Linked DNA regions of Drosophila melanogaster. The protein of the gene in region 2 purifies or fractionates together with the protein of the main gene of each other region. This does not show direct contact. Each region holds a gene or a part of one and is shown on either strand. Other genes may lie near its edges.

Region 1 (4,962 bases), 4.9 Mb from region 2:
AGCGCCTGCATCGACAGTTTGCTTTGCCCATCAGTCGTCCTTATTTCCGCAGGGCCAACCAGATGCTTTTCCTAGGTGAAACGGAGGACGCACCATGGACTCCGCTGCTAAATACCCACATCGGATTACGTCCCAGTGGAGTTGTCGACGGCAAAGAGTACTTAGTAAATGGTAACTACCATTACTATCATTACCTGCAACAGCAGGTGCAGGACAAGGGATGGGGATGCGCATATCGCTCGCTGCAGACGATCTGCTCCTGGTTTGTGCTGCAGGGTTATACGAACGCACCGATTCCGACGCATCTGGAGGTGCAGGAATACCTTCACAAGATCAACGACAAACCTGCTGCATTCGTGGGTTCTTCTCAGTGGATTGGTTCCACAGAAATCAGCATGTGTCTGCAGGGATTCCTTAACGTGGACTCAAAAATTCTGCACGTAGCCTCTGGAGCTGAGCTGGCGACTATTGCCTCCGAGCTGGCGATGCATTTCCAAACGCAAGGTACACCGGTAATGATTGGTGGCGGTGTTCTGGCCCACACCATTATCGGGGTGGACTACTGCGTGCAGACGGGTCAGGTGAAGTTCCTCATCTTGGATCCCCATTATACAGGTGCCGATGATTTGGCCACCATTCAAATTAAAGGTTGGTGCGGCTGGAAGGGCATGGACTTTTGGGCCAAGGGCAGCTACTACAATCTCTGCATGCCCCAGCGTCCCATTTTGTATTAGGTTGAGCTAGTTTCTTTTCCACTCGCATTTAGGTAGGCGAGGATGTTTCGATATGCTTTCTTTAGGTATAACGTATAGGACATTCTAAATTTTCTATTTTATTGGGTAAATAAAATTATTTTGTATGCATTTGTTAGTTGTCTCTTCACTGTTTTTTACGTTTAGCAATATTACATGTCGACCCATCCTAAAGGACAATCTAGGAAAAGCTTTGGTGGTTTTCTGTTTTTATGTGTATGATACTTGTGTATTTTAATTTTATTCCACTTGTATGTTGAATGTCGATGATAAATGTGTAATCCCACACTCCCTTATTAAACCATATTTTAAAATTTTAGCTTGTAACAAAATGGGCACAGATGTTACTTCTAAAATAACTTCCCAATAATTGGTCGTAATACCGGGCTAAACACCACTCTTAGAGTACTTCTTCCAGTAACGCTTGACATCGTCGTGGCCATTCTTTTGCACCACCATTGTGCGAGTTCGCTCATTTTGCCACACCAGCATGTGGATCGACTGGGCGTAGTCTCGTAGCGTTACGAAATCTGTATGCGAGAGGAACTGATTGTACAGCACGCCTTCGGTGTAGGTGAAGCGATTTCGCTCTAATTCCCACAGCTTAATTTGATCAACGACTGTGGGTGGCAGGCAGGATTTAGAGTGAATGGCTGACTCGACCATGCGCATATTGGGATGCGCATACTGCTCCAGATACGAGACAATCTGCTCTGCCGTGATACCGCCACGCAACGCCTGGCGCACTGAATCGCGGGTTAGCACGCCCACGACGAGATTGGGAAAGCGGTAGAGAAGCTCCGTGAACAGACCTAACACGGCTACCTGGAGCGGAGAATCAGTGTAGGCATACACTCGGTAGTTCGTCTCCACCACAATGTAGCCACAGTCCTGAGTGGCCTCCTCATCCATGGCCACAGATGCAGTCGCAGCCGCCTCCTTGCTTGTCACATTCAGAGCCAAACGTGTGGGATAGAAGCGTCCCTCCTTACGCTTACGTTGGAAGACCAGTCCAAACTCCCGTAGATGCTGCAGGAATGTCAGCATCTGACTGTTCATGCCCTCGGAACTGTAATCCCTGCCCAGCGTTGAAAAACTGAGCTGGAACAACATGGACAAGCATTCCGGCAGGCTGATTCCTCTTTCTTCGCACGTGTCCAGGTACTGTAGCATAAAATGCCACACCTGAGCTCGCGTGTCCAGCAGCAGGAACTGAAAGCCCTGCCGGGTTATTGTGATACCGTCTCGTTCATCACGTTTCATGAGATTGGCGTGCAGCAGAATCCGAACGGCGTCCGGACTAATGGCCTCCGCATCGGTGCCATTGCGATTTCCGGTGCCGACCATGTAGTGCAACACGCAACGCCAGCGGGACATGGCGTATGTATCCAGAAAAGCAATGTCCCTGGGCTTCGAGTCCTTATCCAGCGTGTTGGTCATAGGCCAAGGTTTTCCGCCGCCCAGCAGCACCTGGCGTACGCTTTTCTTGAAGGTGGGCGAGAGCTCCCACGCAGAAAGGCCACCCGGAATGGCTGTGACCCGCCAGACGTTCAAAGCCGTCAGGCAGCTGGTTGCCTCGGCTTGCTCCCTGCAAAAGTAATGCATTGCAATGATATTGTTTATCCAATTGGATACAGTCATACTTGGCACAACGTTGGGCACCCCATGATGTGACCACCGCTTGTGGCACAGGCTGATCCACGAACAGTATCCTTATGATAAACTGCCGGGCTATCTCTGGAAGCTCCCGAAAAACGGCCAAACAAATGGGCGGATAGTTGTACAGCTTCTCCAGCGACTCTGGCGTTTGGCGGGTGCGCAGATACTCCTGAAAGTCCTTACACTCCAAGTTCGCAGGACCCTGCCCCAAGGGCGACAGGACGGCGTTTCCACTTCCCCCGGCAGCCGAATGCCGACCACTACCGGATTTCGTGTCGGCCATGACGATTCGAATGTCGAATTCGTAAACAAAATATTTTCATCCCGTTGTCATCGATAGCCGGTCTTTCGTGGGGGGACAATCGATAGTAATCATCAAGGGCGTTACGAAGGGGGTTTTCGCTGAGTTAAAAGTACATTTATTGTTAAAAAAAAATCAATTGATTTTTGATGCATAGATATATGTATTGAGTAGTAAATGTTATTATATTTAAGTTAATTTTTAAAAGAAGGCAGCTCCATTTTCCACACTCATGCTATCGAGCACAGGTAGAAATTGTGATGGGCCGCAAAACTTATCGATAACTCTTCAGCTGTTATTCTGCACACGTGCTGCGCGAAGTATTTTTGTATTGTTATTTGATTTTAAATATTTTCCTGACAAAAATGAGTGACGACGAGGAGCACTACGAACCAAAGGCACACAAGAAGCTGCTGCAGGCCATCGGCAGTCTGGGCAAGGTGCAGCACATCCAGAAGTCCACGCGCGACGAGCGGCAGTCGCTCCAGGATGAGTTCCAGCTGGTAAAAGGTGTTTCGTCAGCGGAAACGGATCATGCCCCCAGAGCCGTGGGTCTGAACGATCTGGTAGACATCCTACGCACCTCCACCAAGCACAGTCAGACGGGCAAGAAGCTCAAGAACATCCATGGCAGCAAAAAGGTGCTACAGAAGCCGCTGGAGAAACCAGCTGCGGATCGAATTAAACGGACCATTGGCTACGAGGGAGTTACCAAGAAACTCGGTCGTTGGGATGCTGTGGTGGCTCAACAGAGATCTGCGGAGACGCAGGTGAATGAATGCCAATGCTAACAGTGACATACACATATAATCTCCAAAACTTATTACAGATCTTCCCCCTACCATCTGAAACGGTTTACGTAAATACTGCGGCAAATGCCAGGCCTCTAAACACCCGGGTCAAGTCCAATCTTGCTCAAGAACTCGAGGCTAACAACCGTAAACTACGGGAACTGCGCAAAGCGCAAATTGGGGATACCACGGATGAAAAGGAGCTGGCCAAGCAAGAGCGGCTTTTACTACAAAAGAAGCTTACCAGGGACGAACTATTTGCCCGTCGCAAGGAGCTAGCTTACCTGAAGATGCGCGAGTCTCAAAAGTCAGCAAAGGCGCGCATGCAAAACAAAATCAAATCGAAAAAGTTCCACAAGCTGCAGAAGAGACAAAAAATGTTGGAGCAGATGAAGGAGTTCGAGTTGCTGCAGAAAACCGATCCAGAGGCGGCGCTGGAAAAGCTTAATGCCCTGGAAAAGAGTCGAGTGCAGGAGCGTGCCAGCCTGCGGCACAAGAACACCGGTACTTGGGCGAAGAATCTGCAGATACGGGCCAAGTACGACAAGGATGTGCGAAAGGATCTGGCCGAGCAGTTGGCTGTTAGCAGGGAACTGACCCAGAAAAAGCAGGTGTCAGACAGCGAAGATGAAACCACCAAGAAGAGAGTTTTACCCGAGGAGGAGGATAATGACTACGATCCCTTTAATCCTTGGACAAAAAGAAAAGCTACAGAGCAAACGGAAAATGGAAATGGTGAAAGTGAGGGTTCCAATTGGCGGCAATATTGGACAAAAAGGAATAAAAACGAAAAGTTACTGGAGGAGCATCGTAGGGATTTGGAAGGAGTCCAGGATAATGACGAGCAGGAGGAGAAAGAAACTATTCGGAAACCATTAATAGAAGTAAAACCTGCTAAGAAGAAACTTAAGAAATCGAAAGTTAAGATAGAAAATGGCTGGGAGGTGGAAGATATTTGCCCAACTGATCAGAAAGAAGCCAAGGCAAGCCCGAATTCAAAAGCCATTGATGACATTTTTGAGAAACACGAGGATCATATCAGAGCCAAACTAAATAAGAAAATGGAGAAATTGAGGGAACGGATAAACAAACTTAAAGAAGTTCCTGTCAAGGGAAAGAAGGCGAAAAAGAAGGACGTCTTGCAAAACCTAAAAAGTCTGGCTTTAAAAAAGACAAAGCAACAGATAGAGATTGACGAGCCCCTTAACTACGAGGAGGATAAAAATTCACAGAATAATATCCCTGCCCACGTTGAAGGTAACACAGAAAGCACGGAAATTCCAGCTGTGGATACCATAGATCCCAACAAGGTGACAACTTTGGTGTTTACCCAAAAGAAGGGCAACTCGGGAGGCTTTAACGATGCTCTAATAGACGATGAAGCAGCTGAATACGACGAGGAAGACGCCGCTGCTGAACGCCAGTTGACAATCAGTCAAGCCTTCGAGGATGATGACAT
Region 2 (6,136 bases):
CTCTTGTGCTCCTGGGCGATCGTATGATCCAGCACTGTGCGCTCCGCTCCCGTGGTGGCGTTCAGCATACTGACATCCTGCGAGGCCATGCTCGTTTCTAGGAGTCGTTCTCCCTCATTGGTCTTGGACTTTTCCAGCACCGCAAATGGTTTATCCAACTTTTGTTCACGTCCCTGAAGAATGTGATGTCCAATGATGAGAATCTTATGATATAAGTAAAATCAGATTGTTTAAGAGCTGGTTAAATTATAACTTTACAATTACAACTCACAGGTTGGCCATATTTATTGTAGTAGAGATCGCCAATAAACTGGCCGTGCATATCCTGGTTGCTCCGCACCTCCAGGTCGCCTTGCAGCTCTATAATGGCCCAATCGCCTTTGCCAGCGTTTTGTCTAAAATAAAATCATGGGTTTGGGTTACTTCAGTGGTAAAGGTGCACTTAAAAGTGAATAATACAATATTGTAAGCCCAGTTTCCACGGAAAGTTTCTAAAGTTTGTTCAGAATTTTATTCATGCTTCACAGTGGTTTGTGCTTTTCTTAGGTCTATCCTCTGAATTTTTTGAAGAGCGGATGCACGCTGCCAATGTTCTTTTTACGATGTTCGTAGTAGATGGCATCATCTCCGCCAGACATGGAGCTCAGTCCGCCGACACGTCTGACGGCGCCGCCCGAGCCACTGGGACGGTAGCCCGGCTCGCCCGGCAGCTTCTCATCCTCGCAGTCCAAATCGGAAGCGGATAGGACCAACTGCAGCAGTTGTCCCTGCTCCTCCTGTGTGCCGTACATCAAATCCGAGTCCGTGTCCATGCCCTTGAGATGCGTGATAACCTTGTAGCTATAGCCCTGGTTGACCAAGAACCGCTGTCGCTTGCGGGAGTAGCTCATCTCCATGGTATCCTGCGAGACGAGTGTATAGAAGAAGGCGTTGTATTCCTCGGCAATGGCACCCTTCTTAGCACGCAGAATACGACCCAGACGCTGGGCCTCCTGACGACGAGAGCCGCCATGCGAAGAGATCTGGATAAGCACATTAGCCTCGGGCAAATCGAAACTGGTGTCTGCCACTTTGGACACGAAGATTGTATTAACCTGAAATAGGTATTGTTAAATAAATGTTCCCAAAATTCTTGAACAGTTGGCACTCACCTTGGAGTTAAACTTAAAGTTCTGGAGGATCTGGATACGTTCGTTCTGCGAGGTGGGACCATAGATGAAAGGCTTGTTCATCTTGATCGCATAGTGTTTTAGCGCAAACACATTATCTGAGAAGACGATTGTTTTGTCGCCTCGTTGCTCGTGATATTTAATAAGAAACTGGCAGCTGCGGAACTTGGAGGGATTCATCACATAGAGCAACATCTTTTTGGAGGTCTTGGTGGTCAGGTACTCGCGATAGAACTCCGGTGACATGGGACACCACACCTCGGCGCACTGCACGCGTGCAATATATCCCTTCTTTTGCAGCTCTAACCAGTTGGCCTCGTACAGTTTGGGTCCAATGAGGAAGTTGAGATCGGCAATCTTGTCATCTTCACGCAGTAGTGTGGCCGTCAATCCCAGCTTGCAATGAGATTGAACGATGGTCAGCACGCGACGGAACATTTTGGCTGGGATGGTGTGCACCTCGTCCAGCACCATGATGCCCCATTCCTGCTCCTGCAGCCAACGCATGGTCTGCTCTGCTTCCCATGATCTCTTCTGCGTGTGCGTTATCATAGAGTATGTGGTCACAAGAATTCCACAGCCCATGGGTTTGTCTTTTGCTTCAGAGGTGAATCTACAAATCATGCTGTCATCAGCTGTGGACCACATCTTAAACTGCTGCTTCCACTGCTCCACAGAAACACCACTGTTGCACAGAACTAGTGCCCTCTTTCGTACGGTGCAGCATGCTGTGACACCCACTAGGGATTTTCCTGCACCACAAGGAAGCACAATAACACCAGAGCGGGCTCTTCCATTGCCAAACATCTTGCGCAGACTCTTCTCCTGATATGGACGCAGAACGGCAGCGGGTTTGAGGTCAATATTAATGTCTGGATTGTTGGTATCGTTGCGGAAATCGTACTCCGCCAATAGAGGATGCTCTATCTCGATGCATCGTTTCTGAATCACTTCGATCTTCTCCTGGGCCACCTCAAACGACACGGTCTTCAGATTGGCCTCATCCTCGTCCTCCTCCTCTTTGTCGATCTTCTCGTAGAAGTCTGTGATATCTTCTGGCACTGCTGTGGTTCCATCAGCTCCTGCGGCTGCTGCAGGATCTGGTGTCGGCTTGTCCGTGGCTCCTGGCGGCAGTTTGGTCCCGAATTGAGTAATAGCCTTGCCGTCCAGGGTTCCCTGAATGAAATCCTCTCCCTCGCTGCGTATGAGGCGGCATTTCTGGATCACTGGATCCTTAAGTAACTTTTGCAGCACCTCAGGATGTGGTGACTCGATAAAGTACTTGTTATGCTTCAAGACCAGCTTGACCTTGCCATAGGATAGGGTGCAGAGTCGTATAAACTCAAGGATGCCTTCGGGAATGCTGGTCTTGCTCAATCTCTTCAAGTATTCCACAATGTCATGGGTTTGCAGTCCCACCGAAACGGCGGCATATAAACTGTATGCGGTAAGTTTGTACTCGTGAATGTGTTCGGGTCGGCAGACGGGCTCCGAAATGGCGATAAGAAAATCGTGGGCATGCTTATAGACGGGCGAGAATGATTCCAGGAAGACGTGACCATTGGGCGCAACCCAAAGTGGTCGATTTCCGTGATCCGGACGCAGTTGCATCTGCGACCGGTAATCCTTGGCGCCGTACTCATCCGTATTGATTTGCTCGTCATTGGTCTCCGCATTCTTGGACGCTGCACCCGGAATTCCTTCCGATTCTGTGGCATCCAAACTATCATTGTCGTCCACCAGTTGGGTGAAAGCCTCATCCTCGGCACGCCGCTTTTTGCCTGGGAATAGTTCTTAAATTACACCGAAGCTCATTGGTTTTCCATGTGCCCCACACTCACCGAACTTGTCACCACCGCTGCGATCCTTTCTCGATTTTTTCGGCGGTCCCATTTAAATAAAACACAAGCAAAAATTTCACAACAAATCCGAGAGCTCAAGAAATTAAACAAAGATATCGACGGAATTCGATAAATTTCAGTCAACTAAAGTAACACAGCACGTATGGCAACGTCGGCAGTTGAGTGCCTCGTAGAATGCTGTTTGTTTTCACATGTTTTTACCCTATGTAAATCGTTACTTTCACTGCATTTTAAGCTACTTACGTTTTTACTACAATGGGCATCCTGTTTTTGTATTTTGAAATGCAAATAGTTGGTAAATCACGTATAAACACAGACGAGCGCCTAAAGCCGCTTTCGTCTCTTTTGCAACACTGATTTATCGGTGGTCGATAACTATGAAGTACCACCTTGCCACCCTGCGTGGCGTCAGCTGTGTACGGTTTTAGAATCACTGGATATTCAAACTGAAATTCAAAAAATTTTTATCCACTGATTTCTCTATGCAATCCCACTTGCCTTGATCTAATGATCATTGGATGTGGAAAATTAACCTTGTGCCTTCACAATGGGCACCGAAAAGAAAAAACACCCGCCAAAAAAGAAGTCACAGGAGAAAAAAAAGAGCGGTCATAGCAAGTCGAAGCAGAATTCTTTGAATTCCAATCTGCCCAAGATATGTTTCGTCATAGCAATTTTCGATCTGCTGCATGCGTTATATTTTACAGTTCAAGCAATGATTCTTCTGGTTAAACAGGTAGCTATTGTTTAATTAAAACACAAAATTCTTAATAATCATTAAATTAAACCAATAATAGTTCAGCGCGTTTGCTATGTTGGCGCTTTTGGGTGTCATTTTTTGGGTTATAATGGTCATCCTGTTGATGGTTGGCCTTTATAAGGTGAGTTTGAATTTATTTATTTAGTGGTATTAATTCCTAAAATTATAAACACATTAGCGCAAGCCAGTTTTCGTAAGGTATTGGCTTATATTTTCCATAGTCGGCTTTATAACCGATATTCTATTTCTACTTTGGGGCATTGCGACCTCAATAACTGTGGACTGGGACCGTCTTAATGAGTTTTCAATAATTTTCCTTGGAATATGTAAGTGATATTTAAATTTAAAATCAAATACAATTCTAATGTTAAGTATAATTTTAGTTGTTGAAAGCGCCTGCATATATTTCATACATCGGTACTATCAGATTATGGATGAATCGAAAAAGAAGAGGACCCTATGTTGTAAGATAGCTTTAAACTAATATTACATTTTACTACTAATCGATTTTATATAGGTGGCGGAAAAAACGAAAAGAAAAAGTCTAAAAGCCCAAAAAAGAAGAAAGGCAAAAAATAAGATCTTTCAACTTTAGTTGGCTTTGTATTTCCGTACTAAAAAAATATATATTTATTAGATTGTTTCAAACATTTGTGTATCGAATAAATTTATTTCTTACAAAATGTCTATTGAATCGGGAGAGCTAAAGTTGCCTACGGATAATCTCCTAAGGACATGCTTTGTTATTGGCGCTTTTGAACTGGTGCGTTCATTGTATTTTTCATTTAGTTCAGTTTCACTCATGGTCTTGCACGTAAGTATTGTATTTGAAAAGAACGTTCTTTAACATTTTTAGCCATTTATTGTTTTGCATTAGACGAATTGGTATACCATAATGGCCTTTCTAAGTACAATAGCTTGGATTGCGACCGTTGGTGGACTGTTTGTTGGTTTATTGACAGTAAGAATTAAAAAAATTTACCAACTATATACATATTTAACTGTTTCGTATTAATTAGAGTCGACCAACTCTGCTCGTATTTTGGTTACTGTTCACTGCCTTTGCAACTGCTACGGATATTATTTATTTAATATGGAATGTTACTTCATCTCCTATTTTCGACGCAGAACATTTAAAGCGCTGGACCATTTCATATTTGGGAATCTGTATGTTTTTAATTTAATAGCATTCTTAGACATTGAATTATAAATCTTTGCAGTTTACGAGGTCACTTGCTTATACTTGGTATTCAGATACTTTAGGAGATTATATTCCTACGTCCTTTTGGAGGGTGATAATTATGATACGACTACTAAAGGTGAATAGCTTAAGCACAGATTTATACGATATACTATACATAAATTTCAGATAGAAAAACAGAAGATTACAGAGATAATGAGACTCAAACCCAATCTCCAAGTTCAAAATACAGGACTTCTGGAAGATCTTCTAAAGGATAAAATGCCAGTTTGGACAAAAACAGCAAAAAGCTTGATTAATAATGATCATTTATGTTCGTTTCATTATGTTCAATGTCCACACACGGTTCAAAATCCCTTTGGAGTTACTAAAATAAATTAAAAATGGTTTTCTTCATGTGTTATTTGGATTTCTATTTACGGGAAATCAATTCCCGACCCCCCATAAGCAATGATAATAATTGACTTATACAGTTTTCCATCTATTTTCCGATGCCTGCGAGGACGATAGGTGGTCACGTTGCCATCGAGGGACCAGGAAAAAGGACAATTCAATCTCCAGGACCTGCTGACAAAACAAATGCCATAAATGAGGAACGAAGTTCGCCAGCAAAAAGCAGTTCACATTGGTTTAGAATGTTTTGGGAATACACTTGGCAGCTATTTTTAGAGCTCAGTATTTGAATGAAGAGATTATAAATGCATGTAATTTAGATGTATAAATTAAAACGGAAATTACAAAAAAATTCATGAAACTAAATATAATTCGCAGGAACATTGAACTTGGCATATATTGAAAACTTCTGTAGTGTATTGTACTTTTGGCCACTGAGTCTCCCTACATTCCCACGCTTGAATACCACTGTGCTGTGTCCATGAATGTTGGCAATCAAACGGCTTTGATTAACAGGCCGCCAAGACCCGAGTAACCCCCTTCTCCAATCGCCAAGTACGTGCTTATCATCATTATAGCTTTGATTTAGTAGACAACATTGCCAGTGATGTGATGAATCTTAGCCTGGGCGATGGGGTCAAATTCTGATGGATATTTAGTGCCCTGTGCCTATTGCATCGCCTTGCTGGACTTCATATCCGCCCTGCTATTCGCAATTATCTCAGGAGTGGTATTTGCCAGGCATGTAAGA

Evidence for each region. The genes of interacting proteins can lie anywhere in the genome.
Region 1: the proteins of hay (region 2) and mrn purify together in Drosophila melanogaster (affinity purification with western blotting, with the first as the bait; one study listed by BioGRID). This does not show direct contact.

What each region holds. Positions count from the first base shown.
Region 1 is NT_037436.4:15,577,813-15,582,774, forward strand, and holds mrn (marionette), read right to left. Parts: upstream 2,726-4,962; 5' UTR 2,695-2,725; coding exon 2,396-2,694; intron 2,341-2,395; coding exon 1,140-2,340; 3' UTR 957-1,139; downstream 1-956. Other genes in the region: Ufsp2 (UFM1 specific peptidase 2), read left to right, coding at 1-734; CG12301 (uncharacterized protein), read left to right, coding at 3,078-3,482, 3,542-4,962.
Region 2 is NT_037436.4:10,628,334-10,634,469, reverse strand, and holds hay (haywire), read right to left. Parts: upstream 3,392-6,136; 5' UTR 3,295-3,391; coding exon of another isoform or gene 3,275-3,294; intron 3,129-3,274; exon of another isoform or gene 3,105-3,128; 5' UTR 3,063-3,104; coding exon 3,011-3,062; intron 2,951-3,010; coding exon 1,152-2,950; intron 1,095-1,151; coding exon 549-1,094; 3' UTR 501-548; downstream 1-500. Other genes in the region: CG34001 (uncharacterized protein), read right to left, coding at 1-203, 272-395, 3,275-3,294; CG42535 (uncharacterized protein), read left to right, coding at 3,579-3,767, 3,829-3,912, 3,970-4,117, 4,175-4,255, 4,309-4,370; CG42536 (uncharacterized protein), read left to right, coding at 4,474-4,605, 4,669-4,752, 4,811-4,958, 5,012-5,110, 5,161-5,252; CG14151 (uncharacterized protein), read left to right, coding at 6,017-6,130. UniProt on the Drosophila melanogaster protein: ATP-dependent 3'-5' DNA helicase/translocase; binds dsDNA rather than ssDNA, unzipping it in a translocase rather than classical helicase activity. Component of the general transcription and DNA repair factor IIH (TFIIH) core complex.